Drosophila melanogaster: one gene and its partners. The protein of the gene in region 4 interacts with the protein of the main gene of each other region in a pairwise test. Each region holds a gene or a part of one and is shown on either strand. Other genes may lie near its edges.

What was found.
Region 1: the proteins of Spt-I (region 4) and CG31775 interact in a two-hybrid assay, tested with the Drosophila melanogaster proteins (one large-scale study listed by BioGRID).
Region 2: the proteins of Spt-I (region 4) and Tsp42El interact in a two-hybrid assay, tested with the Drosophila melanogaster proteins (one large-scale study listed by BioGRID).
Region 3: the proteins of Spt-I (region 4) and CG34188 interact in a two-hybrid assay, tested with the Drosophila melanogaster proteins (one large-scale study listed by BioGRID).

Annotation. Positions count from the first base shown.
Region 1 is NT_033779.5:14,734,763-14,741,210, reverse strand, and holds CG31775 (uncharacterized protein), read left to right. Parts: upstream 1-3,441; 5' UTR 3,442-3,480; coding exon 3,481-3,492; intron 3,493-3,559; coding exon 3,560-3,817; 3' UTR 3,818-4,121; downstream 4,122-6,448. Other genes in the region: CG42585 (uncharacterized protein), read right to left, coding at 140-1,189; CG31835 (uncharacterized protein), read right to left, coding at 4,211-5,260.
Region 2 is NT_033778.4:7,040,366-7,049,038, forward strand, and holds Tsp42El (tetraspanin 42El), read left to right. Parts: upstream 1-5,403; 5' UTR 5,404-5,588; coding exon 5,589-5,648; intron 5,649-6,911; coding exon 6,912-7,070; intron 7,071-7,135; coding exon 7,136-7,291; intron 7,292-7,607; coding exon 7,608-7,814; intron 7,815-7,878; coding exon 7,879-7,950; 3' UTR 7,951-8,173; downstream 8,174-8,673. Other genes in the region: Tsp42Ej (tetraspanin 42Ej), read left to right, coding at 113-178, 1,204-1,365, 1,420-1,782, 2,215-2,307; Tsp42Ek (tetraspanin 42Ek), read left to right, coding at 2,667-2,726, 3,353-3,511, 3,581-3,742, 3,844-4,038, 4,095-4,166.
Region 3 is NT_033778.4:15,424,079-15,431,106, reverse strand, and holds CG34188 (uncharacterized protein), read left to right. Parts: upstream 1-3,083; 5' UTR 3,084-3,132; coding exon 3,133-3,507; intron 3,508-3,560; coding exon 3,561-3,684; intron 3,685-3,758; coding exon 3,759-3,874; 3' UTR 3,875-4,016; downstream 4,017-7,028. Other genes in the region: Stacl (Stac-like), read right to left, coding at 6,702-6,848.
Region 4 is NT_033778.4:13,163,160-13,171,446, forward strand, and holds Spt-I (serine palmitoyltransferase subunit I), read left to right. Parts: upstream 1-5,338; 5' UTR 5,339-5,411; exon of another isoform or gene 5,412-5,655; 5' UTR 5,656-5,681; coding exon 5,682-5,729; exon of another isoform or gene 5,730-5,791; coding exon 5,792-6,291; exon of another isoform or gene 6,292-6,347; coding exon 6,348-6,675; exon of another isoform or gene 6,676-6,730; coding exon 6,731-7,096; intron 7,097-7,148; exon of another isoform or gene 7,149-7,157; coding exon 7,158-7,322; 3' UTR 7,323-7,585; downstream 7,586-8,287. Other genes in the region: CG15870 (uncharacterized protein), read right to left, coding at 313-684; GLaz (glial lazarillo), read right to left, coding at 1,058-1,330, 1,387-1,459, 1,518-1,672, 3,265-3,402.

The DNA of each region.
Region 1 (6,448 bases), on a different chromosome or scaffold from region 4:
AAATAAAAGCCAAAATATAAAAGCCATATTATAAATATAAGCCAAATTTTCACAAAAATTTTGTTTTTCTTTGAAATATGTAACGCAACTAAAAAGCGGATTCAACATGATTGAAAAAACAGATACAATTTCGAGTATCCTAATCAATGGCCTCCTCAGCAGCCACCCTTTTGTGCTCCTCGATCTGCACCTTGTCCAGATCGACTCCATCTTTTTTGGCTGCCCGTATCTCGCCTTCCCCCTCCGATCCGTCTAGCTGGTTGGTCTGCCAAACTCCTGTCCACGGCAGTGACATCACTGACATGACCTTGACCAGACTGCTATGGTTTTCCTGGTCTAGATCACTCTCCCCATTTCCTTCCCGTATTCGTCTGTCTCCATCCGGCAACTGCAACTCCTCGCAGCACAGCATGGAAATCAGCAAGTGCTCAACGAAGAGGGTTCGCCGCAGCCTTTGAGATTCGTCCGTATCGTGGCACTGCACTTTTTGCTGTGCAATCCACTGAAGTAGAACATATCTGTCGTCGTCGTGTTCGAATGGCCCCCCGGAACTCAAGCCTAACGCCAGGGACTCTGAATTGGCTGCCTCCTCTGGAGGATCATTGTTGCTTAGGAGCTGGGGATCGGAGCTCACACGTCCAGTTGACAGCCATACGGATATATCGAATATCCTTGAATTCGGAGTTGTTTGCAACTGCGATTGGCGGTGGTGGCGCATGTGATTACGGGTAAATATTCGGCGTAGTGGCGGTGTGTCGGGCTCTAGGTAATTGGCGTGATCGATGTGGTTGTGCAGGAGATGTTTGGAAAGGTGGCGTATGGCCACCAGTTCGGCGGCCGACAGTCCGGCGCACATGGGGCAGACCACATATTCATTGGACACCCGATGTTGAACGTAAACATGTTCGATGAACCGCTTCGCTGTGAGCGCAAGTAGGCCGCAATGTGGACAGGTGAAGCAATTGGACAGGTGGACCAGCTCTGGGATTTCGCCGTAAAGCAGCGGAACCAGATCGTCCGAGTCAGGGAACAATTGCATGGGATGATTGGCGCGATGCTCTTCCGTTTCTATCTGATGATCGTAGCATATGTCACATAGGTTATAGTTCACGCAGCGCAAACACCGGAAGCGGCTACCCTGGAAGATCGTCATTTGACAGCCGTTGCAGCAAATGTTGCGGTGACCCATCCTCGATCCTTGTGCTAACTTCGTTCTTAGCGAATATACCTAAACTCTGGTCGAAAAAACGGGCAAAAGGGTTCTAAATTTTAACAAATCGAATCTATACAATGACATGATTTTCATAGATGTAAAATATTTCGGGGCGTTTGGTAATAACATATAATTCTACTTTTAAAACTATTTTTCAACCTAAATGTATCAAACTTACTCAAGCTTTCTACATATTTCCTTTGCCTCTTTTAAACAAATGTTTATTTTTGGAACCTTAAGTACAGCGAAAAAAAAGTTAAATAAACATGCACTGTACTATTTTGTCCGGTGAGCACAGCTATCTACGTGACAAATAACGATAATGCAATTTGTTTTCCAAACCTATATGAAACGAGAAATAAGCCCCCATTATTGATAAGGAACTAAATCTTTTATCTAAATCTTTTGACAGTAGAAGATAACTCAAAGGATATTTTATATTTGCTCAAATCAGAATGCAGTTATCGAAAATTAAACTTCCCTTGAGCTGAAAATTTAGCTTGAATTTATAATTATACATATGTCCAAATGTAATACAGCTTCAGTGTGTGTACACATAAAATTCAAAACCCAAAAAATCCACAAAAATTGCTATTTTAGTAGGTATTGCGTTGAACACATCGGTTCTAAATGTGGCTGTTGTGCCATTAGTTACTCTTCTGTCTCTGTCTCGGTTTGAATCTCCATCTCGCTCTCTTCTTTTTAATTTTCCCGACTTGGTGCGCGGCAGTTGTAATAGAAGTTTTCCGGCTTCATGCACCTCCGCCCTTGCACCACCCCCTTTCGGCGACCATTGTGGTGGATTCAGTACACTCTTAAAAATAAGATGTTTAATAAACATATAGCAGGTGGAAGCCGAATGGAGCGATTTGCACCAAAACAAAGTAATAAAAACAAAATTTTCTTATTTTTTGCTTATTATTTCCTATCGAAATCTATATACCCCAAGCTGTGATTATTAGATTAAGCGTCTGCGATGAGGTAGCAAAATTCTAGCACTGCATTAACAGAGCTGATTTCTGATCAGGGGTTGAGGACCTTTAGCCTGATCTTTCTTCTTGTTAATTTGTTTTGCTTATTTTGGAGCTGATTAGCTATATACCGATTAAAAGCTTTTCAATTGCCACTAAAAAAAAAGTATAAGAAACGGCGAAGACTTTTTAGCGCTGCATTTAAATTCACAAGCTTAACAGTATTCTTTTAGGCTGAATTTGCTCTCAAAAAAAGTACAATTGGTTTGGAAAATTTTAAATGTTTTTGAATGTAACCAAACACAGCGAAAAAAAATACAAATAATATTTCTTTAAAAAAAAGGATGTAAAGAAATAAACTAGTCTTATTAGTTTAATAAATACAATTTTTTAAGACACATAATTTCTATGTTTTTATAGACGGTACTTGTGGAGTAATTGAGTATACCAAATTCTTTAAAAAGTCTGTGGGAGTTCGAAGAAGGCGTTGCCGAACCTTTACCTATACAGAATATATATATTCTTCACCAGCATCACCAGCGGAGTCTATCTAGCCGTATTCGTTTGGCCATCTGTCTGTAAGCCTGTCTGTATGAACTGAATGAGATTCAGACCTCTAAATAGTTCCAATTCTTTCAGAACCTGTGCCAACAACACTCTAGATTCTTCATTGATTTCATCTAGTCTTGTCTTGTAAATATCTTAGTTCTTCTATTAGCTAAGAAATGGGTATCTGATAATCGAGGAATGCGACTATAGTGGTCTAACCTGTTAAGCGCTAAAATTCAAAGACATAACATAATTATACGTATGTATAAAAAATTAATCCATGATTACAAGGATTTCATACTTAATTATCCCTCCTCATTTCGAAAGTCTAATGATAACCCAGAAAAGCAAACAAGAACATTTGTTGCCGTAACACGTTTGTGATGCGTGAAAACGGAACATAAATGATCTAAAGTAATCTCAAACAACGTCTTCTTCTAAGTCGCCCTTAGTTTTTCTTAGCAACTGTTGCGGACTTATTAGATTAGGCTCGACTTCCCAGATAAGATTGATGTTGAAGGGTTCCCCCCGTTGAGCATAGGCATTGATACAGTGCTCAAATATTAATTTCCCAGACGTCTGGAAATTTTTTTCGTATTTTTGTTGGGTTAATTGTACTTGATTTTGTCAGAACATTGATAATACTTCGGCGCGTGACGACATGATGAGATTGCAGGAGAGTATAAAAGATCGGAGGCGTCCAAAAATTTTATTCACATTAGCAAGACTAACCGAAGTATCAGCACCATGAAGTTTTTGGTACGTTTTACATATACGCTTCAAAGAAAAACCTTTAAGAACTAAGTTGATTTTAATATTGTTACAGATCCTCTTCATTGCCCTATTCGCCGCGGCCGCTGCCCTACCTCAGTTTGGATTCGGCGGTGGATTCGGTGATCAGCAGCAGCAGCAGCAAGGAGGATTTGGAGGTGGATTTGGTGATCAGCAGCAGCAGCAAGGAGGATTTGGCGGTGGATTCGGAGGTGGATTCGGTGATCAGCAGCAGCAGCAGCAAGGAGGATTTGGAGGTGGATTCGGAGGTGGATTCGGTGATCAGCAGCAGCAACAGCAACAAGGCTGGTAAAAACCAATTCATAGCACCGTCTTAACGCAGATACCTCAATAAAAATATGACACCTTTATGATAAAAAAACAATTGGAATTTTTTACTTTATCGTTCTCGAAAATTTATGAGTTTTATGAAAATAAATTTATATTTATTATTCATTTATATTTATTAAATAGTGCCCAGAAATAAATACACTTAACATAAGGGACAACGGGAAATATCTTCTCTTTCAGATGTTCAAATGGTTTTACTTAAAACATTGTAAATATAAATAAAAGCCAAAATATAAAAGCCATATTATAAATATAAGCCAAATTTTCACAAAAATTTTGTTTTTCTTTGAAATATGTAACGCAACTAAAAAGCGGATTCAACATGATTGAAAAAACAGATACAATTTCGAGTATCCTAATCAATGGCCTCCTCAGCAGCCACCCTTTTGTGCTCCTCGATCTGCACCTTGTCCAGATCGACTCCATCTTTTTTGGCTGCCCGTATCTCGCCTTCCCCCTCCGATCCGTCTAGCTGGTTGGTCTGCCAAACTCCTGTCCACGGCAGTGACATCACTGACATGACCTTGACCAGACTGCTATGGTTTTCCTGGTCTAGATCACTCTCCCCATTTCCTTCCCGTATTCGTCTGTCTCCATCCGGCAACTGCAACTCCTCGCAGCACAGCATGGAAATCAGCAAGTGCTCAACGAAGAGGGTTCGCCGCAGCCTTTGAGATTCGTCCGTATCGTGGCACTGCACTTTTTGCTGTGCAATCCACTGAAGTAGAACATATCTGTCGTCGTCGTGTTCGAATGGCCCCCCGGAACTCAAGCCTAACGCCAGGGACTCTGAATTGGCTGCCTCCTCTGGAGGATCATTGTTGCTTAGGAGCTGGGGATCGGAGCTCACACGTCCAGTTGACAGCCATACGGATATATCGAATATCCTTGAATTCGGAGTTGTTTGCAACTGCGATTGGCGGTGGTGGCGCATGTGATTACGGGTAAATATTCGGCGTAGTGGCGGTGTGTCGGGCTCTAGGTAATTGGCGTGATCGATGTGGTTGTGCAGGAGATGTTTGGAAAGGTGGCGTATGGCCACCAGTTCGGCGGCCGACAGTCCGGCGCACATGGGGCAGACCACATATTCATTGGACACCCGATGTTGAACGTAAACATGTTCGATGAACCGCTTCGCTGTGAGCGCAAGTAGGCCGCAATGTGGACAGGTGAAGCAATTGGACAGGTGGACCAGCTCTGGGATTTCGCCGTAAAGCAGCGGAACCAGATCGTCCGAGTCAGGGAACAATTGCATGGGATGATTGGCGCGATGCTCTTCCGTTTCTATCTGATGATCGTAGCATATGTCACATAGGTTATAGTTCACGCAGCGCAAACACCGGAAGCGGCTACCCTGGAAGATCGTCATTTGACAGCCGTTGCAGCAAATGTTGCGGTGACCCATCCTCGATCCTTGTGCTAACTTCGTTCTTAGCGAATATACCTAAACTCTGGTCGAAAAAACGGGCAAAAGGGTTCTAAATTTTAACAAATCGAATCTATACAATGACATGATTTTCATAGATGTAAAATATTTCGGGGCGTTTGGTAATAACATATAATTCTACTTTTAAAACTATTTTTCAACCTAAATGTATCAAACTTACTCAAGCTTTCTACATATTTCCTTTGCCTCTTTTAAACAAATGTTTATTTTTGGAACCTTAAGTACAGCGAAAAAAAAGTTAAATAAACATGCACTGTACTATTTTGTCCGGTGAGCACAGCTATCTACGTGACAAATAACGATAATGCAATTTGTTTTCCAAACCTATATGAAACGAGAAATAAGCCCCCATTATTGATAAGGAACTAAATCTTTTATCTAAATCTTTTGACAGTAGAAGATAACTCAAAGGATATTTTATATTTGCTCAAATCAGAATGCAGTTATCGAAAATTAAACTTCCCTTGAGCTGAAAATTTAGCTTGAATTTATAATTATACATATGTCCAAATGTAATACAGCTTCAGTGTGTGTACACATAAAATTCAAAACCCAAAAAATCCACAAAAATTGCTATTTTAGTAGGTATTGCGTTGAACACATCGGTTCTAAATGTGGCTGTTGTGCCATTAGTTACTCTTCTGTCTCTGTCTCGGTTTGAATCTCCATCTCGCTCTCTTCTTTTTAATTTTCCCGACTTGGTGCGCGGCAGTTGTAATAGAAGTTTTCCGGCTTCATGCACCTCCGCCCTTGCACCACCCCCTTTCGGCGACCATTGTGGTGGATTCAGTACACTCTTAAAAATAAGATGTTTAATAAATAATGGATAACATATAAAATAATTATTTCATGGTTCAGTCCTTTGAAACACTGCGGAACCTTATAAATGAAAATGACGTGCATACATTGGACTGGAAAACTAGGAAACTATTCTGAACTTATATTTTAAAATAATTTTCAAATTCATTATTAGGTTTAAATAAGATGTCAGCTTCAGAACTTTGAAATTATTGGAACATTTTTGGGAGTGCATAGCAGAGCTCCTGTTTTTGCGCTGGTGTTGGTAATTATATTATAGAGTGTGGCGGACGGAACGCAATCTCTTCGCCAGAATGAGTGTGTGTGTGTGTGCGTGGGCAACTTATG
Region 2 (8,673 bases), 6.1 Mb from region 4:
ATCGAGCGAGTTTCCGGAACTCGGAGGTCATATCTTCCATTCTATCGGCAGCCAGATACTTTGGTTCACAAGCATAACTGCCAAGGAAACTCACGTGCGACATTGTGGCAACATGGAGAAGTCGTTTCCCATAACACCCTGGAAGTACGGCCTACTGGTCACCTGCATTCTCATTGTGGTAAGTGAAAAAGATGCGCATTTCCCCATTCCAGAGCTTTCCCATTTTCCCGAGCCTGACCCAAATGGGAATCTTGCACAACACCCGGTGATGCGAGCAATGAGCCAAAATCGAAAAATCAATATTGCGCCCAAGTTCACATCTTTCGCAAGAGAGCAAAAATTGGTGACAATGAGCCGCTAAAGACTATAAACAAATCGATGCAATCTCAAAAAATATTTATAAATGCATAATACCTGTTCACATACTTACATAATTCCGCCGGCCAGCTGTTTGTAATTTTTGCAATATCTATAAATGGCCCGCAATTCTGGGTGGCTTACGCCAATTAAATTCACTATTATATTATATAATTTATTCTTATACAATTATGCACATGGGACACTGTTTACAAATGTCAGAGATTGATTAAGCATGAAAGCATAAAATGTTCTTGCATTTGCATGCTATAGTCTCATAGATTTTCATTTTGGTGCTTAGCAAGTACAAATGCCAAATGCCTAATGCTCATTTTACCATAGTTTAGAAAACTAGTTGATGGATAGCTGGTAATGTCTGACTGCCAAATGTAAGTTGAAAAAATGACGCTGTAGACGCTAATGAATCGTGCTTGTATTTATTTATTTGGCACCCCAGCACTACACGTGCAATTTATTATTTAAAGTGCTTGTCGCGGCATTAAAATATTATTAGGTCAGTACAAAATGTATATTTAGACTTTGAAGCTGGCTGATCAACGATTTAATAAGTAACTTTCACCTATTAAAAATAATAAACCCTAAAACTATTACGCCTTATCGGTAGGTGTTAAATAATAATGCATTCCATATAGCTAGTTCCTGAAGTTCATACGCACAACCTTGGCAAGTAATTTATTAAGTTATTGGGGCCACACTTTTAGTTTTAGTTTCTAACTCTGCGAGAAAGATGTTCGTTCAAGAAGAAATAGATTAGGAAGTAATTTAGTCCATAATTTTCCTTAGTACTAAGGACTTAACTAACTATTTTGTTTCCCTTTCGTTCAGACGTGCAACGTGTTCTTCTTCTCCTGTGGCGTGACCACCTGGGGTTCGGCCGTCTCCGTCTACGGCAGCTATGGGTCGGCACTTTGCGGAGGAGCAGTTTTCGGAGTCGCCTTCCTGGGCATGTACGTGGCCTTGAAGGTGTCGTACAAGTATTCCATATACGTGAGTAAACTGCGTTCACAACTGCAAGTCACAGACTAACCTCTTTGCATTCAGTACCTAATTTGCAGTGGCCTGGTTATAGCCGCCCTGGGCTCCTACCTCTTCACCTTCACGGCGATGCGGGAGCAGCTGATGGGCAGGTTCGAGGAGCGCATGCGCGACCTCTTCGAGCGAAAGACCCACAGCGACGACAAGATGCAGCCAGTGCACAGCCTCTTCGGCTGCTGCGGCATTGAGGGACCGCAGGACTACCTTCAGGAGGAGCACGGCGCCCTGCCCAGCAGCTGCTGCTACGCCTTCGACTGCTCCAAGCCGGCGCACGTCTACGAGGAGGGATGCTCCACCAAGGCGGTAGCTACTCTGAGAATGCAGGCGGAGCTCAACTACTACAGCTGCATGGCGATCATTGCCCTCGAGGTGAGACATTAAACCATACGCAGGGTAAAATTCACTTGCCACAAGGGTACTTGAGCACAAGGGTATGTTTCGGCACGTCGCTTATGGAAGAGTTATCCAATAACTTTTGAATTAACGCACACAACTGACTCAGTGAACACATTTTAACTACTTTTTTATTCGTCACGCTTAAATAGAAATCCCTGCCAAGATAAGATGTGTGTTTTTTCATTCAAACCATTTTTGTTACTAAAGTTTTCTTTAAACTAAATATGTCAAAGGTGCGATCGTTACTATTTATGTACACAGTTGTTGAGCTTTTGCTTGATGTTATAAAGTTATAAAGTAGTAAGGACGTTAAGACAGTAAAATATTTTTTTAACAAAGTTCGCTTGTCTATTCGATTTCGATTCCATATCAATATTATATTATTACAATTTATGTATTTTTCAGTTTTTGGGCTTGTTCACCGCTTACCATTTGGGCAAGGCTCGCAAGTATGCCAAAACCAAGATAAAGGACGAGGAGACCCCCATCAACGACTGATGGCCGAGGATACCCCTGCATGATTATTGATAATAAAAATTAACCAAATTAGCTAAAATGCCATTAGAAAATAAATACTTTCCATAGCCTAAACGAGTTCCCCGCAGTTATATCTCTCTCTCATTGAATTCGGCATCATTCGGCTGCGAAGATCTGAAAAACAAAAGAACATTGAAGAGCGCAGATCGTGATTTTGGGATTTTACGTGCTGCCGGCAAATATTTGCATCTGAAATTCATTGTCTATCGGAACTCCGATCTGGCAGGTTCGATCATACAACAAAGATTACTCTCTATTACTAATTATTCAAGAGGAATTAGTTTGGAATTTTACAAAAACAGCTTAATCGTAGCACTAGGATGGGCTGCACTTCCGGTTGCGTTAAGTGTTTCCTTAACACTCTTAATACTCTGAACGCGGTGAGTTCTTAACATATGCATATATTCACATGCATATGAATAAAAATTGGTAATTCTGTGCTATAAGAATGTATTACAAATGTAAATTAGCCATCTGTGTTCCCACAGGAATTTAAATGAATACATTTTTCTGCAAATCGACAAGCAAGTACGCATTCCGTTTTCATGGAATCGAAAATTTGTTTGGCCAGTAAACGTAATTTGCTTGTCAGATATGTATGAGAAACATTTGCCGCACTTTAATGATTAGCCCCAACACATTCCAAATTCAATTTGTTTGATCTAGAAATGCTTTACGACTTTACCATATGCTGCGATTTGTACCATATTTACAATTTATGGAAGATTATGGAAGAAAACAAGATTTTTAACTGCCAAAAACTTGTTTTATCCATATCCTTTTAAAAATAACTCATTATTTAGCACTAAGAGAGCGAACGTTATTGTGAAACACCAAATCAAATAACAGAGATTCCAGTGCCCAGATAAACGGGAAAATCTAGTTTCTTCACCGCGGCATTTGATAATATTTTGAAAATACCTCAAGCTCCATTGGAGTCATTGACATTACCACCCGATATCATTGCCAAATGCTAATCTGAATTGACCCTATGCTCCCTCTGTAGCTTTCGGGTCTATCCCTGATAGCCATTGCAACGTTGGCCCTCTCGAAAGCCCCTATCGCCTACATTCTGTTTCTATATGGACTCGGTGGCATTATCTTCGTTTCGGCTGTACTGGGATGCTGTGGAATCTGCATGGAGAACGTGTGCATGACCGCAACGGTGAGTGGAAACGCTATGTCATCCGTTTGGTAATTCACTCACTCTATGTTGTGTGTTGTATGTCAACAGTACGGCTTCTTGCTGTTGGCTCAGCTAATAATCAGCTTGCTAGGCATCTTCCGCTTCAAGTTCACTGAGGAATACATAGAGAAGTTCGCCGCCGAGGAGGTTCAGATGAAATGGGACGAGGAGCTGGTGGAACCCGGCGCCATGGACATTTACCAGACAGTGGTTCGTATTCTGGCGAAGATCATTCGCATCATGCACTTTTAATCGAATATATTTAATATGCTGGCATTATCGTTTATCATTTTTATGAATTATCTTAACAGTACGAGTGTTGTGGGCGTGATAGCCCCGACGACTACGTGGCCATCGGTCGTCAAACCTTGCCGCCCAGCTGCTATCCCCAGGAGGACCCCCAGATGCCCCACTATCTAGCTGGTTGCGTCCAAAAGTCCAGTGAGAACTTTGTGGTGCTCTTCAGCTACGCCCACGATACCAACTGGATAGCACTGGGAATAACCGTGAGTGAAATGTGTGAACTACACATGGAGGGACTAATCTTACAGAGTTTTTACAGATTCTAATGATGATTGCCGCCTTTTACTTGGTCGGAAGATTCAGGAAGCAGCGCGTTCGCTACACCTACTAAGGAATACTTTCGTAGAATTCTGAATATATTATTAGGGCGCCAATATTCCTTTACAGTAATCTTGTATAAAGTTTTTGATGCTCCCAGGAGAAATAAAAGCGTATCCCGATGAAACGAATACTTCCGATTATACAAAGGGTTCAATCCGAACTGATTAAAATTGTGATTTTTAAACTAGTAACTTTGTATTTGTAACTATGTATTTGCCTAACAGGGTCAGTTCAGCTGTCTTTCGGTATATAGCTCCTATACTTTTAAGATTCACACAAAGTGAGCAATGCATTTAGGGTTTCTATTTTGATAGTGGAAGTCAGGATCCTGCACTCCGCATCGGAAACTGAGCTCATCCGGTGATGTTGATGGCGTCATTCAGTGCCGAGTGTCTGACGCAATCGAGCTGAATCAATCTTACCGGCATTAATTCGATCGTTGGTAAATTGCTTTGAGAGGCGGTGGTCGATTAGACCCAACTCCGCTCTCGATAAGACACACACCGCGGCTAAACATCTGGCAAACGGAGACATATAGATTTCGCTTCAGTTCTGTCAAGCATAACCAGCTCCACGCTTCGAACTTTCCCGCCTCAGTTTCTGTTTGGCTTCCGAATGGCGGGAGCCGCACTAGAGTGCCACCGCCACCTTTAACTTTCTTGATTTGCCTACTGCGAGTGCAGGCGAATTCGGCTAAATGGATTTTAGTCACTCGAAGTATATTAATTGACAAATCAATATAACAAGATAGTGATATATTTTGTAACCTCTCATTTTAATAACATCTATGGTATCAACGAAAATCAATACAATAAGCAATGAACTTTTGCTATCGTCTGGGAGCGGGTTATTGAGGTTCTACTGTATAGTAATGTGTGTGCCCGGCTGCTTTTGTTTGCTTTAACAAACACTGCTAGCTGGCACTGTGGGGCACATCATTTTAACTCAATCACTGTTCAATTGTGAAAATGAATTTAAAAGAATCAATTTCGTAGAGCTTGCTTAGAGAAGATATTTGATTAAAAATTGATTACGTATTTCATATTCGTACAGGAAGTCCATATCATTTGATTCGTGCCGAAACACTCTGCATTGCCTTAAGTATTAGGAGCAGTGTTCGTCACTATAATTTTGGTGCTCCATGAACAGCTGCTATTCTATTCATTGAACCCACGGTGCAGAAGCGGCAGCTTTGGAGCTTCGGACCGCTCGACTCGGATCGGATTCCGAGCGAGAGAGTTTTCGGGGAGCTCAGTTTGCTCGTGACCGTGGCCGCACCAGTGCGCACTCCTAACCGATTCAGTCAGGTTCCGCCGATACGGACTCAAAAACTGAAAATAATCGGCGGCACAGCAAACTGCCGCACTTGTGGCACTGCGATTCGGTTGCATTCTAGCCAAAGGCAAAAGTTTGAAGTGGAAAAACATTCGAAATGGGTTGCGCAACGGGCACCATAAAGTACTCGCTGTTCCTGTTCAATGCCTTATGGGCGGTAAGTAGAGCACCGAATTGGAATTGGCATATGGTGCCTTGGGAGTCTAAGCGATATATCTGCGTATCTGCCGGTTCTTTTCTACAAATAGCCAGCTAATTGCGATGGTTTGAAATTTGTGTGAGGGGAGCCTCGGTGTTTGGGGTCTATGCTGTCCGTTCCACGTCCACCTGGTCGGTGGATGATATCATCTCGGGTGCGTGTTTGGTTTATGACAACGCTTCGCGGCTGGCTGTGTGTGTTAGCCAGTGTCTATTGTTAATGGCTTCTGCTCGGCCTTTTAGTTCCTTAAGCCAAGAGGAGGGCTTGCTAGCCAAGCGGCGAAACGAGGTTGCTGAAGTGCGTCATGCATTCGGATTTCGTTTGAAAGGCTAATTCGAGCGGAATATGGAAACCGGATTATTCACCAGATAATGATGAAAATAGCGATGAGGCCGAGCTCGACGCATTAGTCGGTGCCCATATGCATCAAAACTTTCTGTGGCCTTCTCAAGGCCGCGATGGTCTGATGTAAGCCCAATCCTAATAGATTGTTGACTGATCCTTTTGGAATTCTTCTTCGACCCTAGAGAGTATACAAATTCTTAATCACACTCTCTAGCCAACTCGGTCTGGTCATGTCCGTTTGTCCGTCTGTCTTTCTGTCCGTATGAACTTCCCACTTCAGCGCTTTTAAAAAAATGTTGTCATGATTCCAAAACGCAGTCGCTCAAACAATTTAAGAGACATTTTTTGTTTTCTTAATTACGTCTATTACTCGTAAAAGCGTATACTATATTTGCTTGAACAGGTCGATCTATAGCCATTTCCGTCTGTCCGTATGAACATGGAGATCTCAGGAACAATAAAAACTAGAAGGTTGTGATTCAGCATGCAGCTTCTAGCGACAAAGACGCAGCGTAAGTTTGCTGACCCATGCTGCCACGCCCACTCTAACGCCCACAAAATCGAGCTTGTCCAAGCTTTTGAACAATTTTTAAATTTTCTCATTTTATTCCCCAATATCTATCGATATTCCAGAAAAAATATAAAAATTAGCGTTCGCATTCACACTAGCTGAGTAACGGGTATCTGATAGTCGGGGAACTCGACTTGTTTTAATCTTTGCTTTTATGCATGTGTGTTTTATAAAAACTTTTAGGGCTAGGCGGTCTGAGATTATAAACCCAATTTTGTTTGGCAATTTTTTACATAGATAGATAATATTCATAATTTAGAGGATGCTGGACATATTTATTGACTATTTAATTTTCTGACTTTTAGATACTCGGTATCCTGGTGCTCATCTTTGGCGGCCTTGGCTGGGGAGCAATGCCAGATGCATATGCCATCGGCATCTTAATTCTGGGCGGTACTATCCTGGTAATATCCCTGTTTGGATGCTGTGGAGCCGTTCGCGAATCGCCGCGCATGCTCTGGACGGTACGTAACTGAATATTGCAATTAGGTGAATCATACATGAGCTAATAATTCTAATTGCCTTGCAGTATGCGTCACTGCTGCTGATTTTGCTGCTACTTATAGTGGCGTTTATCATCCTGAATCCCAAAGATGTATTTAAAAAGTACGCGCTTCAAACGGTGGAGAATCAGTGGGAGCTGGAGCAGACGAAGCCTGGCAGTATGGATATTATTCAGAAAACGGTGAGTGCCAATGTAACAAAGCAAAGGCTAGTTTGTTTGTTCAAATGCTTCCAAAATAAAGATTAAAAGAGTGCTTTAATTTGGAATTTTTTTTGTTATATACATAAGTACATAAGCAAAAGGTAGATAGGCGTTAGGGCCGTGCTCTTTTTTAGCTAGTGTTATCTTACATGGTTTGAATTGAATATAACGCTTTAGCTTATGTTTATTTCTAATAATGTAGTATTAGAAATTGCGCAAAGCTGCTGAAGTACATATTTATGTATGCTTAGCCTTCTCCTTTAATTTTGGTGTTTATATATTTCTATCACTTTAGTACTATTGCTGTGGCCGCGACAGTGCCCAAGACTACTTGGATATCAAATTCTGGAACAATACCGTTCCAAGTAGCTGTTGCAAGGACGACAGCTGTGTGAATCCACTGAATCTATATGTGCGCGGCTGCCTCATCAAAGTGGAGGAGGCTTTTGCAGATGAGGCAACCACTCTGGGCTATTTGGAGTGGGGTCTGCTCGGATTCAACGTAAGAGCTCTTTATTTCTATTACGGTGGAGCAAATTTCTAACTCATTTCTTTATTTCTTATAGGCTGTCATTCTATTGCTGGCCATCATCTTGGCCATTCACTACACCAACCGGCGGAGACGATATAACTATTAGTGAATATTTACTGAATAAGAAACCAAACTCCTCAAATCTAAGTGTCATCAGTGTATGGTTTGTTTTTGATACGAAAACCCAGCGTTACTTGCCAAGCAACTGAGTTAATCTTTTTATTAAAGCAATGTTTAACACATTCGAATATTAAAATAATATGTACATAACTACAAGTACCAAACACATGTCGTTTAAAATACCAAATATATTTAGAAAAATTACTTTCAACAATATTTTCGACAATAATTAAGATTTCAAAATAGGTTCGCGATACCGGTGATACAAAATATTTTGAGTTTTTCACCTTGACCGTCCGTTTGTCCGTCCGTATGAACGTTCTCGATAACTATATAAAATGTTTTAAGTTAGTCCACGCAAAAACAAATTATGAGCACATGTGGAACAAAAAGTTGGAAGCAAAAGCGTTAAGGCTTACATATATATGTTTATGTTTCTCTCCAATGATTCGTGTAAAGGGTATATAATAGTCGAAAGCGGTTTCTTTTTTTCCTATCCATGCACTTTCCTTACAGCGGGCACATCCATCGGAATATGAAAATATTCTTTCTTTTAGCAACATAAACTTCGTGTTTAGAGCCACCTCTCTAAACATTTTACTGAAGTTGAGCGATAGTTTTTTTCAGTGATGTTGTGCGTTGGAGAAAACTGACCACTAGAGGGCTCTTCAAACGAATTGCGCAAACAAAAGTCAAGCGAACTGTTATG
Region 3 (7,028 bases), 2.3 Mb from region 4:
AAGGCCATTTCCTAGTAAAATTAATAATGGCAACACAAACTGTTATCTAGTTCAACTTCCATACTCGCGAGTAAAAATTGAAGCTTTAAAAAAGGAAAAGATTTCGTTAAGACTGCTTTTCAAAATTCTAATCACATTAAATATATAAAAACACCTTAGATTCCTAATGTTTTAGAGACGAAGACATATCTTCTTATTATGTCTCTATTTCACGTGCTTACGAATATTTAATTTACATGTAATGCGAGTGAAACTTAGTTTGTGCTTAGTGCTAAACTCGGCACATGTATTCAGTTGCGGATCAGATTTATCTCTCCAGCAATAAAATATTCAAGACACAAGCATATCAACTTACGATTTGCCTGTCCTTGCACTTTTTCTACCAATTTCACAGATTTCCATCAACTTGGCTCCTGCTGACAGGCGAATACTTCCCTACCAAGGAGCAGCTATCCGAGGGGAATACAATGGCAAGTTCTCGTGGCTGGCAAAACAAATGACTAGAAGAGGCTAGAGCAGCATTTCTGCTGATTTTCAAATGAAATTTTAATGAATGCAAACACACTCACATGCAGATATGCCATATACCAGATACCCATGGCGAGTGCCAGGAATCGAAACTGAAACTGAAAACTGAAACTGTTTTTCGTGCCATTCGTGCGTCAACGAAATGTGAAATCTCCAGAGCGCCAAGCGGCCAAAAATCTGTCTGTCCAAGTGTCCATCAGTTTCAGCCAAACGACCCCGAAGGCACTCCCACTTGGCCTCCAGTAAAAGCAGCAGTGTACATTTACAACTTTTTTAGAATCAGCATTTGGGACATTAGTTGACTTTTTAAAAAAATTCTTATATTTTTTTTTTCTAATTTTGTAAGAGAAAATGTAAAAGTTTTAGCTAAGATATGTATCTAATGCCGTGGAGCATACTTCGCTTGACTTAAGATATTTAACACATGACATTTTACAGGGTACCTCAAAGTCGACTCACTTTGCTTCACCGTTTTTTATTTGCATTGGTGGCTGTGACCCTGCCACTTAATTATTTATCAGCCAACAGCGAGAACCTTCAGTGTAAAACTGCAGAACTGCAAAACATTTTCTCCTCGTGTTCATTCACTAAATTAGTTGAAGCATACATCCGTTAGATACGATTCTGATGATGAATGGGCGGTCGGTTAATTGATACCGAAATTCGCAAATGAATACCCATTGTTCATTGTTCGGTTCGTCCTTTTTGGCCGCTTGACTGCTGAACAGACTGAACAGGAACAGGTAGTGGGCAATTAAAACGGCTGAGGCTAAGGGATTTGCTCCTGATTCAGCGCCATTGTGTGTGAGGCGGTGCTGATGTCTTTAATTAAATTTGCCTTTAGCCGCAAATCCTTTTATGCCGCCGCCATTTTGCTGGGGCTTCCTTTGGCATTTGACTTCGCCTTCGTCTGATGCCTTCCCAGTGTTTTTCTGTGCGGATTCCAAGGATGCAACCGCAGTTGCCCCCGGGCATCCCCAGCTCCTGGCGAACAGCGGCGGCATCTTGTGATTTATTATTAAACATGAATATGAATTCCTGGATGGAATGTGCTAGGCGAAGGCTGCAGGGGATTGAGACGCGAGAACTGAGCAAAAGAAAGAAAACGCTGCCAGGACCTGTTGGCATTTTTATGCCAGCGTTTTTATGATTAATTAAAATTTATGCCCGAGCAAATTATGCTTCCAAATACAAAGACCCATAGACCCATAGAGCCATAGACCCATGGACCTATAGAACCGCATGCGTATAAATATTCCTATTCAACGCGCGGGCATCAATTCCTTGTGGACATCAAGTCGCGTGATTAAGATTAAGAGGATTGTCATAAAGAAGAACACAATTTGGGCAACTTAATTGGTGGCACTCGAGGGGCGAGTGGTGAATGGGGAATGGTGAGTGGCGCGAAAAAAGCAAAACTATGCCGAATGTCCGGAAAAAAAAGTAAGAGCATTTCATATTTATTAAAGCAATAAAATAAAGTAGGAACCAACACGGTCGTCGCCCAGATAACGTGTCAGGACCCAGAGAAATATCACCGTGTCACCCACACACCAGCCTACACCCACACAAGCACTCGTCACACACACACACACACACACACACGCACGCAGAAAGAGACACTCCCACGCACACCACCATTGTAGCTTTGGTTGCGGTTAACGTGCAAATTTGTGTGCTTCCGTCACGATTGGCCTACGGATTTGTCGTAGGTCCCTGGGCAAGGATTCGACTCGAATAAGTTAGTGTGGGCAGGGCCATAAATTTAAAATTAACCCTTTACAAAAGGAGCACAGCTTTTGACCTTCAGTCGACGCGCGGCAACATGCTTAACCATAAATCCTAGGGACCGAAAGCCTCTTCTCGAGTTCTGCGAAATTAATCTGCTTTGCAGGTGGCCCGTTTGTGCATTTTAAATCAGTAAAAATAATTCCCAGTCACAATACGATTAATTAATTGAATGAGTTTCCACTCTCGAGCCAAATGGAATAATTCAAGCATATTGGCTCGGATGGCAACCGATAAGGGATATTCGCAGCAAAATGTCATTGCAGTAGCAGCACGCCATACAATAATAAATAAATGGGAAATACGACTTGGCTTCGGGCATTTTTGAAACAGGGCCGAAATGAAACTGAAATGAGGGAATAAGGAACGAAAGTCGAACGGACTGACTCAAGTGGTTGCTTCGCAGTCAAGACAATTCGAAAAATGCTTTTAAAAGGAAATCAGTAAAGGAATTTCGCTTATGGGCAACTGATTGTGCCATCGAATCGGGCGGAACAAGTTGAACAAGTACCGGAGGGTTTGGCGGAACAGGATGGAAGCGATTTTTTGTTGTCCGCTTTTGCCTTTATTTTGTTTTTCTCTTTCTGGCTGAAACACTTGGAAAATTGAATTGTTTTAGATTTTCCTTCACTTTGGGGCTCTCCCTGCCGCAGCGTATAAATCAAATTGGATTTTCTTGTGCACTTAACTCCGATTGACCGAATCGGAAGTAAACCCAAAACTCAATCACAGGCTATCGATGAAAAGTTCATTAGTAGGCTGGCAACGAATTGTTTAGCGGCATTTATTTCAGTAATCTATTGAAATCGGTTGAGGATGGCGTATATTCGAAATTTTCTGAATTCCCCCAATGACTGGACCCGACTTAATGAAAATATCAATGGAATAAAGCCACTGAATAGCTGCTTTTATTTCTTCAGCTTGAAAACGGGCTGCAATTTGATCGCCGGATTCGAAGCATTGGTAAATGTGCTACAAATGTGCAGCATTTACTTGTCGGAGATGGAGGTCAAGACCACAATCACAACTACGGAGTCACCGGATTCGATGCTTGTCACTAGGGAACCGGACGGAGATATGCTGGGACCCAACATGAGAACGCCTATGTTTGAAACTAACCTCTTCTTCCAAAAAGCACTAATCTCGTTGACTATCTTCAGATCAGTGCTACTTATTGTAGGTGCAGAATGGGTAAGTAGCTTTCATACGAGTTCAAATAATACATAATACTATACTCTTTCCAGAGTCACATATCCTGTCTCGTCCTTTGGATTTGTATTACGGTTATAACCTTGTTAATTAGCACTTGTAATGATATCATGCAAGATGACGAGCTGCTGACTTTTCTCTTTTCTACCATTTCTATTTGTGAGTAAAGAAGTAGTAGTAGTATGTGTATACCCCTTCTTAACCCTTAACTTTCGTTTTAATACAAATTTCAGTTCTTGAAATCTATTTCTGCGCAGTGGTTGCCTCCTTGGTTTTGAAATTGCAGCAAAAACTTCGTCGTAACGTGCAGGAATCGGAAGTGCTGTTCACACGAATGGAGGAAGTTTAATTAAATTCAAGATAATTAAACTATACATTTAAATTTGCAAGCTCCTACTTACAATTATTTAATTTTTACTTGTGTTGTTGCATTCCCAAATTGAAAAAGCATGTACTCATAATAATTTGGAAAAAAATACACAATATACTGCAATACTTTGTCATTTTCATATCTAAAACAATGCTATATAATGCTGACTTAAAAGCGTTTTTAGCTTAGTTATATGGTAAAGCATATGGTAATTTAAACAAATATTTCATTGGTAGTTAAGTTATAACATGCCTGGCCACTACAACCAATTTTTGAGCTACATATGTATGCACAGATTGCTACTTAAACATGCGTTTATTGTGGCTAAGTAATTGCATTTGCATTCAAAATCATGAAACATACACGAGCGGCGCGAAAACTTGCACATTTGCATGGGAAAATCCAGCAAATGTGCACACTGAAAATATAAAATATCGGGGTGTAGGAATCTCAAAAATTGATTGCACTGGCAAATTGGACAGGAAACAAAAGGCTGAAACGCTCGTTATCGCGATAACGAGTATTTCATCGTCGAAAATTGAAACCAAATATTGAGAGTATCGAGTTTAAATTCAAATTCTTACTTTTGCGTATGGCGATTTTTTGGGCGGTTCTCGCGAGGAGGTGGCCGCTGCTGCCGTGGGCGTGCCGCGTTTGTTGGGCCGATTCTTTTTGAGAACGATAACGCGCATGATGTGGCAGATATATATATATTTATTTATGTATATATTTTGTGAGAGAGGGGGTGTACGTGTGTGCGTGTGTCTCTCGGCTACTGGTATTTATTTACGCAAAGTGTTTTTAACAAACAACAAATTCGAGGTGTCGCCGTGGTCGCTAGTCTCTCTTTCAATTTTTCAAGTGATGGCCGTTCACAAACGGATTTCCACTCCTCGCGACATCGAAGTCGGATTAAGATATAGCTTTCGGATTTGGATTCGGATGCGAATTCAGATGCGGATACGGATGCGAAGTGTGTTGTGGGTGGTTGGTAGTTGGTAGTATTTTGTGGTTACAAGTACGTGTACGGGTGCTATTGCGACTGCACCCACATTCGGGTGGTGCGGTGCAGGCACAAAGGTCACGAAATTACAAAATGCAAAGCGAGCCGAGCCTCTAGCTCTAGATAGATTTTTACATAGTTGATGTTGCAATTACTGAGTAAGAATAGGTTAAACTACATCTAGATTAGCAAAGAGTATTGGTTATTTACAGTACATACGAGCTAGCTAGATTGATTGAGTTGTGTTTTATTGGCATTAGTTTGCACTAGCTTCTGATTGGTGAAATTAAGCGCTTGGCCACGAATTTCGACTACTTGGCTAGAAATTTGTTGTAGAAGGCAGGCAAAAGATTTGAAGTAATTCTGGCAGTGCTACATTAATTCGTTTTTTGTTTATTTATATTCTTTTCTATTTGTTTTTTGATTCGAATTCGTTGGGCGCACGGTGCGTATGCGTGATTGGTTAATAAAGCTAAGTTATTTTACATGGACTGTCGACTAGTTGGTTGCATTACTATTTTGATCATCGTTTGGTTACTTACGCGCTGCACTCAATTCAATTTATCTTGTGTGTGGCTATCAAAATAGAGAACAACTCGCCTAGAAAAGCCTGCCCTGAACTGCGCTCTAAAATTATGCATATATATTAGGAGGATATATATATATATATGAATGGTGTCTGTTTTCGGGATATATATATATTAATATATTTCAATTTTATTTGGATTTAAGGTTTGTGTTTCGTTTGCATTGGTTTCTTAGCTAGCCCCTCCAATTGCGCGATTGGCAGCCAATCGCACCTCAGTCGCGACGAAAAACGACGACGACGGCGCGTTTACGGATACGGATACGGCTGCGGAAGTACGGCTACGGCTACGGCTACGGCACTACGGCTACGGCTAATTTGTCGAACGGATCACCCAAGAGCGGAGCTGGCGAGCCGCGTTACGTATACGTCGAAGTGCAAGCACGTGACTGACTCGGAGCGACCGTTGCACGCTGCTTTTATAAACAGCTACATCGGGAGATGGCTCGAATGTCTGGCAACGCTTCGCATGCAATTTTCCGCGCGCGCTCTCTCTCTCTCTCTCTCTCTCACTCTCTGTCTCTCTCTTGCTCTCTCTGAAGTGACTTTTCCGAGCCCTGTTCGGCAACAGCTGATTCACTTGCAGGCCCAGAGGTTGAGGTTACAGTCAAAAGCCTGATGGTTTTTCCCAAACTCCCACGCAGTAATAGTTTGTCACACCAGAAAACACAGAAAATCGCACAGCACACGGTGTAATTTTGACTGAGTAACTCTCTTGTGAGGACCGCAAAAAAAAAACAGGGACCTAGCAAATGCAGGACAAAATCAAGCCAAACAGCCGCACTGACCACGCACAAGCTAATCTACCGCAGGACTAAGCGAAAGGCGAAGGACGAACCTGACCCACAGTTGGCTCCTGCTGGCGGCTTTCAGTGCTCCAAAAAGCGAGGGAGATGGCGAAACGCTTGGGTCACATGCGCAGTCGCCAATCAGCTGTTTGACCTACATACGAGCGCCAGTTCATCTGTACTTTCAAGCGTGCAAACGGGGGGCGTGTCGGGCGTCCCGACCCCGCCTAATGGAACTCATTAGATCTCGGCCATGAAAAGTTCACCCAAAAAGCTGTCAGCAACAGGTCTGTGGAAAGCTAAGTGAAAGCTTTTCCATGGCATAAACTTAACTTCGAAGTGGTTTCTTTTGCTGCTTTTCCAGCTTTATCGTGGTATATTTTCCCGCTAAACTTTATAGCTTTTCACCCCGACTAAATCGAAACTCACCTGAGCCCTTATGGCCGCCAAATGGATCTGCTTGGCTCGCAGGTCGAACTTCTTCATGGACAAATCTTCTTGAAGCTCATTGACCTTGTTGTACAGCTGACCCTCGATTCCACGGGTCTGCGTTCGATTTAGAGCCTCGATGGAGTCCTACGAGAGGAAAAGTAACCAGTCAAATTGATTATTTAAATAAATATTTTTGTAATAGATCTTGTAAAAGTTTACAATTTTTAAGAATAAAATGTATTTGTAATATTATAGATCTACTTGTAAAAGAAGGCTAGTTAAAAGCTTTCATAGGCAATACCCCAAATAACATATATTTAACTA
Region 4 (8,287 bases):
TCTCGTATCCATATCTAGTCTGTAGATTAAGTTTATATATATATGCGCATATGTAGATTGCATTTTAATGGGAATATTTTTGACTAGGCTTAAGCACTGCCATCGCAGTCGCACTCCACAAAGATCGCTGATCACTGATCGCTGATCACTGGGTGGACAAACAGGAACCAGACACCGGAGACCATCAAAACAATAAGTTAAATGAGATATGGAATATTTAGAGAACTGTCTACAGCCCGAATTTCTGGGTAACTTTACATAATCTTTGTAACTAAAGCAACGTGTTGATTGTAATTTGTATAAATAAACCATCTATAACCGTATCATATCAGCAGTAGTAGTAATTATAATAGTAATTATCGTAGTAGCAGCGATTATAGGTTGCGGGATAGGGTACGGGAAGAGGAACCGGAAGAACTCCCGCGTATCCAGCGTAGCCGCCATATCGGGCATATCCGCCATATCCGCCATATCCTCCATAGCCTCGAAAGCCGCCTCCTCTAAAGCCTCCGCGGCCTGGTCCACCGAAACCGCCACGACCGAATCCTGGACCACGTCCTCCAAAGCCGCCTCTTCCAAAACCACCTCTTCCTCCTCCGAATCCGCCTCCGCGGCCGCCACCTCCGAAACCTCCAGCATGACCGCCTCCTCCGTGTCCTCCTCCGCCTCCACCTCCTCTCGCATCGGACATATGTGCCTGGGCCACAAGGAAAATCAGACAAAACAAAATCCACAGTCGGGACATCTTATCCGGCCAGAACCTTTTCAATCCGTTGGTAAATCACGACTAAGTTCCGATGACTGGGAAATTCTATTTATTGCAAATTAATTAGGACACCCGCGTTAATTGGCAATGCGGGCATGAGTTCATATATTGAAAACCTCGATCGAGTTACTCTTGTTTTTTGTTTCTGTATTTGCGTTGCTTCGCCTCTCTCCGCCGATTCACACTCCTCGATATCACAGCAGCCTAATTGATTAGGCATCAAATGTAATTTGTTCCTTAACCGAATGAACTTAAACATATAGATGGGGGATGAGACGCTGGAGGAGCTTCCTACAGCGCCTCGGGGCATTGTTTGTTTTTGCTGATGATGAGCCTTTCCGGATCCAGAGAGAGCCGCTTCAACACGTCGTACACTTTGGATCGGATATCCACCTCGAAGTCCCGATCACGTCCAAGAATCCAGATCTGATCGGAGTGACCCAGTGAGCCAATGCTGCCGCAGGACCACAAGATGGCGAAGTTCTCGTAGTCTGTGTATAGCACCTGGTACTTTCCGGAACCTGGCAGTAGTCGGGCAATCACGTCCGGAAATCGGGTGGTAAACTAGGAAAAAGGAATTGTGTATATTGTGTGTTGTTAATATTATTTATTGTAGATACCTTAAAATCCATGATGGAGGATCGGCTGTTTTCTGGTGTTGCATAGCCAATGTTCACATTCGGATTACCAGTTCTAAAAAGGACAAACACTTCTAACACACAATATATATTATTAGATTATTTAATCATACATGCGATTAATGTTTTTAATGGCCACAGCCAGCTTGAAATTGGAAAACTTCGATTGTTCGCCCTTGTTGTACGGCTCAAACTGAAAGGTGGTGCATCCGGAGGCGATTTCCGGAAGGTAAAAAGAGCGCTCTACCTCGTACCAGTGTCCAAGGACCTACAAGATAATGACATTACATAAAATAGATATTTTTACTTCCTTTTCAACATGTTCTTAAGTTCTTAAGTAAGTTGTTTCAGTGAATGGAAATTCTTCTACATATTCCAATTACTTCATTAAATCTGAAGGGTTTTATTGGAAGTAGAATCACCTGATAACCATCAGTCTGAAAGCCAAAACCTTTGTCACGCAGCGTTTCTCTCGGCCAAGAAACACTTAACTGGGTTACTAATCAAAATGCCACTTAGCGCAAACAATGCGTAAAACGTAAACATTTTTGAAACTGGTTATAGACTCGGTTGTGGCTGCTGGTCATTGAGAAGAGCCGCTCTTTTGGCCGCTGCTCATCTTGCAGTTCAAAGTCGGCGGTGGGCGCCGCATCGCATTAAAGAGCCACTGCTGGCCAGTCGAGGTCTTTGCCCCGGGTCAAAAGTGCGTTTAGGGGGCGGGGCCGGTGGCAAATGGCTTAATTTACGCCTGTCAACAACTCAATTGGATGATGTGCCATTTGGAAGTGGAAGTGGAAGTGGAGAGGAGGTCGCTAGACCCACATAATGTGAGTGACAATGCCTCCACCTCAACCGGGCAATTATGGTGCATTATCTTTTATGCAAATCAAGGCTCAATCAATTTAATTTGAGCTGCTTAAGTGATTGTTCCAATTTTCTATCCATGATCTCGACAGTGTATCTAAGCGAACAGTCGTCGGCTTTTATAGCTTAAAACAACTACGTGCATTTATGAGTACTAAACAAAGTCCATTTATGGATTCTCAGAAATACTTTGAAACAATCTTTTTACAGCCACCTGAAACCAATTTTCTAATTTTCTCTTTCGAAAAACATTAGTTTCACATTTGTGATGTCATATCGGTGGTTTGGCAAGATGATTCCATAATTACTTGATTGAAATATTGGCTGTAATAGCGAAATGTTCGCACCAGGAATGTTCCACTGTAGTGCACTTTGTTGTCCTTGGCGTGCCCATGTCTCAGCATTGGTACTGGTTGATTTACTTCTTTATAAAATAAGTGGCTTGTTTACCATCAGCAGGCCATAAAGCTTTTGTGCCGCTCGCCTCCTTCTGTAAAACTGGTTTGCATTTTACACGGCGGATCGGATTTGGTGGCCTTAAAATGGTTCAAGTTCATCATCTGCACAATCCCCAAGATGTAAAGAGGGGTCTTCGTCTGCGCCAGACGCCTTGTGCCAATTAATCGAAGATGTGACACGTTTAAGACGATGGCAAATAGACAGGCGATGAGTGGCCAGTTATACAATGCATCTCGTTGTTGTAAGGACAAACAGTTCTCATATATTCATACTCATAGTTATTTTCATACTCATAAATTCTTTGTAATCTTATAACTGGTGTTACTCAGTGGGTCAATAGACACAGATCTTTAGTAACAGGTTTGAAAGGTGGTTTAATAAAGCCAATTGCAAATATGTATATATAGACTGCAAACAAATGTCTGTATGAATATTTACAACACCCAAACAGGCTGTTAATAAAATAGCGATCGAAATATGTAGCAATTTTAGTTAGAGTTTGTAGAGTATGTATGAGAAAACCAGCAACTAACTTACCCGACTCATGTTAAACTTTGGCATCGATGGATAATTCGGGCAACGTCCAAATCCGTAGGCATCTGTCCCAGCAAATGTCACTAATAGCACTCCGGACAACAGCCAAACCCTCGAGCCAAGTGGCTGGCCACTCATCATGGTTGCTTCTGATAGTTCACTTTGAATATTTGGCACTTTAGGCGGCAGAATCGGCACTCCAGCACCTAACTAAACTGTGTGGAATTCGAAATCAGGCAATTTCCATTGAACTCGACCGTTTTAACTTGGCTGTGCACAAAGCGGTGATTTCCGATACGACGGGTTCACTTGGCCAACGAACTATGGATCGTCATGAACCAACTACATATACATTTCCTCAAAGGTACACCATGTCCGTCCATTAGTATTCCGGATGGGATGTGTGCGATAATGGAACGTGCTGGCTACCGGCTTAGTGGAGCAAGCCGGACCGAATTGGTAGGTCCCGCAAAGAAGAAGAAGTAAAGTGATGTGATGTGAGGTGAAGTGAAGTGAAAACCACTAACTGGGTTGGCGCGGCGCCGTGTTTATTATTGATATTTATTTTGGTTTTTGGCTCGTGCCCGGCCAGCGAGTTACGTAAAAGAAAAGCCAACGTCAAAATGCAGCTCGAAAACTGGTTGCTCCACCGATTTTCGCACACACCAAGAGATACTTATTGCGCATTGCAAAAAGCGGGTAAAAGCGAAAATACCTAATCGAGGAAATACTGCGCTGGGATGCATCAATTGTGTCATGGAGTTAGTCGGGTGCATTGCTCGATTTATCTGCGAAAGTGGGCATGGTGTAGACATGGTAGCTTCATTCGAGCGCATCAAGTTCAAGAGAAATAGGAAGTGGCTTTTCTTTGCGCTATTTCGGTTTGCCATTATCGCATGGGCAATGCTAACTATAACTATTTGATTGATAGATAGTGATGTGAAAGGTACTTTGATTGGTAGCTACATAGTATAGTTCATCAGTATCAGTTGGCAATTATTTAATAATATTGTAATTTAAGACGAAATGGAACTTGATAAAAATGATTATGTATATTTTAAATACAATCGTGACTTTGAAAGAAGTATTTCCTTGGGTCTAATTGAATAGTGATATAGGTAAATAGTAAATAATTATATGAAATGCAATAGAATTTACTATATATTAAAACAAGGACATTTGCAAGGAAGAGTGAATACTTGTACCTAGACTAGATCGCGACACATAGCGTAAATTGTTGTATCTAGACTACCAGCCAGGTACACCCAAATATACACTTCCCATCACTGCCAATAGAAAAAAGTGTTAATTTCACAGAAAACGACAGCCGCAAGTGGCTGAAAATAAACCAAGGCAATTGCAAAATACTCTTGTTGTCCAGCTGATTTCACTTTGTGCACATACAAGTATCCGTTTCGATTCGCGTGTAATGTGATAAAGTTTTCTTGCAAAATGCAGAACTAACTATATCTCTTTGTTTACATCGGCTTTTTGCGGTGTTCTTTGTCTTCTCGCGGTTTTTATCTCGCGAACTCGAATTTCAGATGGCGCCAGTAACGCGGCTCATTCACATCGGTTGACCGATCGCAGCAGCAGTTCAATGGAAACTGAATGGATCGGCGGTTTGAATTGAATTCGATTTCGTTATTTCCCACCGCACGGTCACACTGCGATCGCTGCTCTGCCTATCGATATAAAATAGTAATCGATCATATATTTGAAATGATAACTAGAAAAGAACCGTTACGTAGCAAGTTTATTTGAGTTCAGTATCATAAAAATATTGATAAAATCTAGGTAATTTTTAATAAAAATTTAAAATCTGTTGTAACTTGTTGTATTTTGTTGTTAGCGAGTCAGCTCGGTGGGACAGGTCAGTGGGACACGTCAGCGGAACAGGTCGGTGGGTCAGATCGGCGGGACAGGTCGGTGGGGCAGGTGGGCGGGACAGGTCGACAGGACCAGGTTTTTGAATAACAAAAAATAAATAAAAACGTCCCCTAGTTCCATATTCCACTGTTCCTCCATCGCCGCCAATTTGGCGCACATCTTAAAGATATCCGCGTATTGGTATTTTTTAGTACATTCGTTCATCCATCTGTTTCGGCGGATATTTCACGCATTTTGCCTATAGTTAACTGAGTTTTGTGGTGAGTGCTCGATTTAAATGGATATTTAATGTAAGAGAATGTTGGAGAAGGGCGTGGTTGCACATTTTTCGCCCACTGGCAATTAGCCTATGTCAGCATACACACCCAATTGAAAAGATTTCCGTACCGTATGGTCGAATGCTTCAATTCTACATATGTATGGGGCATACCCGCGATAAGAAAGCGTCGGCTAGATGACACATAACTTCAGGGAATTAAGGCGGTTTCAATTGATTTTTCACAGAAAGGGCACGGAACCAGACTGTCAAAATGGTGGCCATCCAATTGTTCAACGAAATCGGCAGTATTTTCCGAAACGTAAGTTTGCATTCGCCTTTTTCACCACATTTAGCTTACTCCAGTTTCTACTCCTTCCACAGACCCCCACGTTTGCTCTCGTCTTGGAGACCCTACTGCTCATAACCGTGATTTGGTTGCTGCTCCACAGACGAGGAGGAGGTCGTCGCCGACAGCTGACCAAGGAGGAGGAAGACCGAATAATCGCCGACTATGAACCAGAGCCCTTGGTGGCCGACACCGATCCCAATCATCCCCTGCTGCACACCCGCGTTGTGCAGTCCAGGGTGGGCAAGCGCATCCAGGTCGATGGACACGACTGCCTAAATCTTGGCTCTCACAACTATCTTGGCTTCCTCGAGGACCAGGAGATACTGGAGGAGGCCTGCAAGTCGCTGCGCAAGTACGGAGTTGGATCTTGCGGACCTCGGGGCTTCTACGGCACTATGGACGTGCATCTGGACCTGGAGGATCGTATTGCCAAGTTCATGGGCCTGGAGGAGGCCATTGTCTATTCCTACGGCTTCTCGACCGTGGCCAGTGCCATTCCGGCGTATGCCAAACGTGGCGACCTTATCTTTGTGTAGGATTGTCTACTTCACCTACTCAGATTGGCGACTAATTACTTGTTATTTGTAGGGATGAGGCTGTCAACTTTGCCATTCAGAAGGGTCTGGATGCTTCACGAAGCACAATCGTTTTCTTTAAGCACAATGACGTTGAGGATCTAGAACGTCTGCTGATTGAGCAAGAAAAACGAGACCAGAAAAATCCGAAAAAGGCGGCTAAGACACGTCGCTTCCTCGTCGCCGAGGGTATCTATATGAATACGGGCGAGATTTGCCCACTTCCCGACCTGGTGGCCTTGCGTCAGAAGTACAAGCTGCGTTTGTTCATCGACGAAAGCATCTCCTTTGGCACATTGGGCCAGGGTGGTCACGGAGTTACGGAGCACTTTAATGTCGATGTAGGTGGTAAACCGGAAAGAAAAACTAAAATTATAACTGGTATTTTTCTTTTAGCGTGATGAAGTCGATCTGATATCGGCCGGCATGGAGGGTTCGATGGCAACAGTCGGTGGCTTCTGTGTTGGCTCGCACTTCATAGCCGAGCACCAGCGCCTCTCTGGCTTGGGCTACATCTTCTCGGCCTCGCTGCCGCCCATGCTCACCCAGGCGGCTATTTCAGCGTTGGATCGTTTCGAACGAGAACCACAAATCTTCGAGCAGCTGCAGGCAAAGTCTAAGACGTTGCACCAGAAGTTTTTGCGATTCAGCAAGCTAACCCTGCGCGGCGATGAGGTGTCACCAGTGAAGCACTTGTATCTTGCCCAGCCCGCCGAGAACTTTGACAAGGAACTGAAACTTCTAACAGAGCTGGCTGATAAGGTAGGCATTTTATTTCCCCATGCAATTATGAAAACTATACATTTCTACTCACTTTTCCCAGTGCATTGCTCGTGGAGTGGCTGTGGTACAGGCTGCCTACCTGCAGAACAGGGAACGCCAACCAGTCCGTCCCAGCATTCGCATTGCTGTCAACCGTTTGCTGGAGAGTTCGGAAATAGACAATGCGTTTGAGGTCATCGAGAGTGTTTCCAGCTCCGTCCTATAAGCCTTGTTGTTGGAAAGGAATGATCTTCTTTCGACAATGGCCTTGCTGTTAAGTTTTAAGGCCTGCTGGCCCCATCATTTTTTCATCACTTCTTCACGACCAGTCCAGTATGAATTGTTTAAGTTAATAGCTAGCCTTGCACTTGCTCTTTGCACTTTGTTGCATTGCATTTTAATGAAAAATTTTAAGTCTAGGAAAACTTTCAAAGATTACACGTTATAGATAACAGAGCTGGTTAAATAAAACTATTAAGTTTATTTGGTAGTTACGTGCCCTTTTATTGGTGTTTCTTATCGCCTGCGCAATCGCAAACGTTTTTGAATATCCCGATAAAGATAAGGGTAATATTATGTGGCATTTGTTGTAAAATTTACAAGAACAACTTCCACAAAGAAACATTCATTATTTATTTATGTTTTTCTTGCATGACAATTAAGATACACATCACACGCTTAATAATAACTAATATGTGGAATAAGCCAGATGGAATGGAAATGCTTTGAAACGATTTGATTGCCAGTGGAGCAGAGCTGTTTCCGAGTGGCGACCTAATCTGTGAGCAATAATCATAACCCTTCGACTTTCAAACCCATGTTTGTGCATTCGATTCACTGATGAACTTGACAACGACGACCCCAAATCATGATGTTGTGCACATAGCGCTCTGATTTCGATGCCGATATGCCAGCCGGCAATCAGCGCCAATTGAGCGTATACGTACTATGAACTTGGGTGCGGTGCTATCAGTGCGAATACGCAACATTTGGCGACAAAAACATGCAATTACAGCAATTTTCGCTATGTTGTTTACATACGCGAATGGCGGGCGCAAAAGGCAAAGCTGCAAAAACAGCTGATCGCAAGCGAAAGCTTTCCGTGCGCAGCGGAGCTTTTGAGTTGGCCGGCAGCTGATAAATGAGCACAGTTGTCGCTCGTCGGTCAACAGGCAAACAAATCAGCAGCGT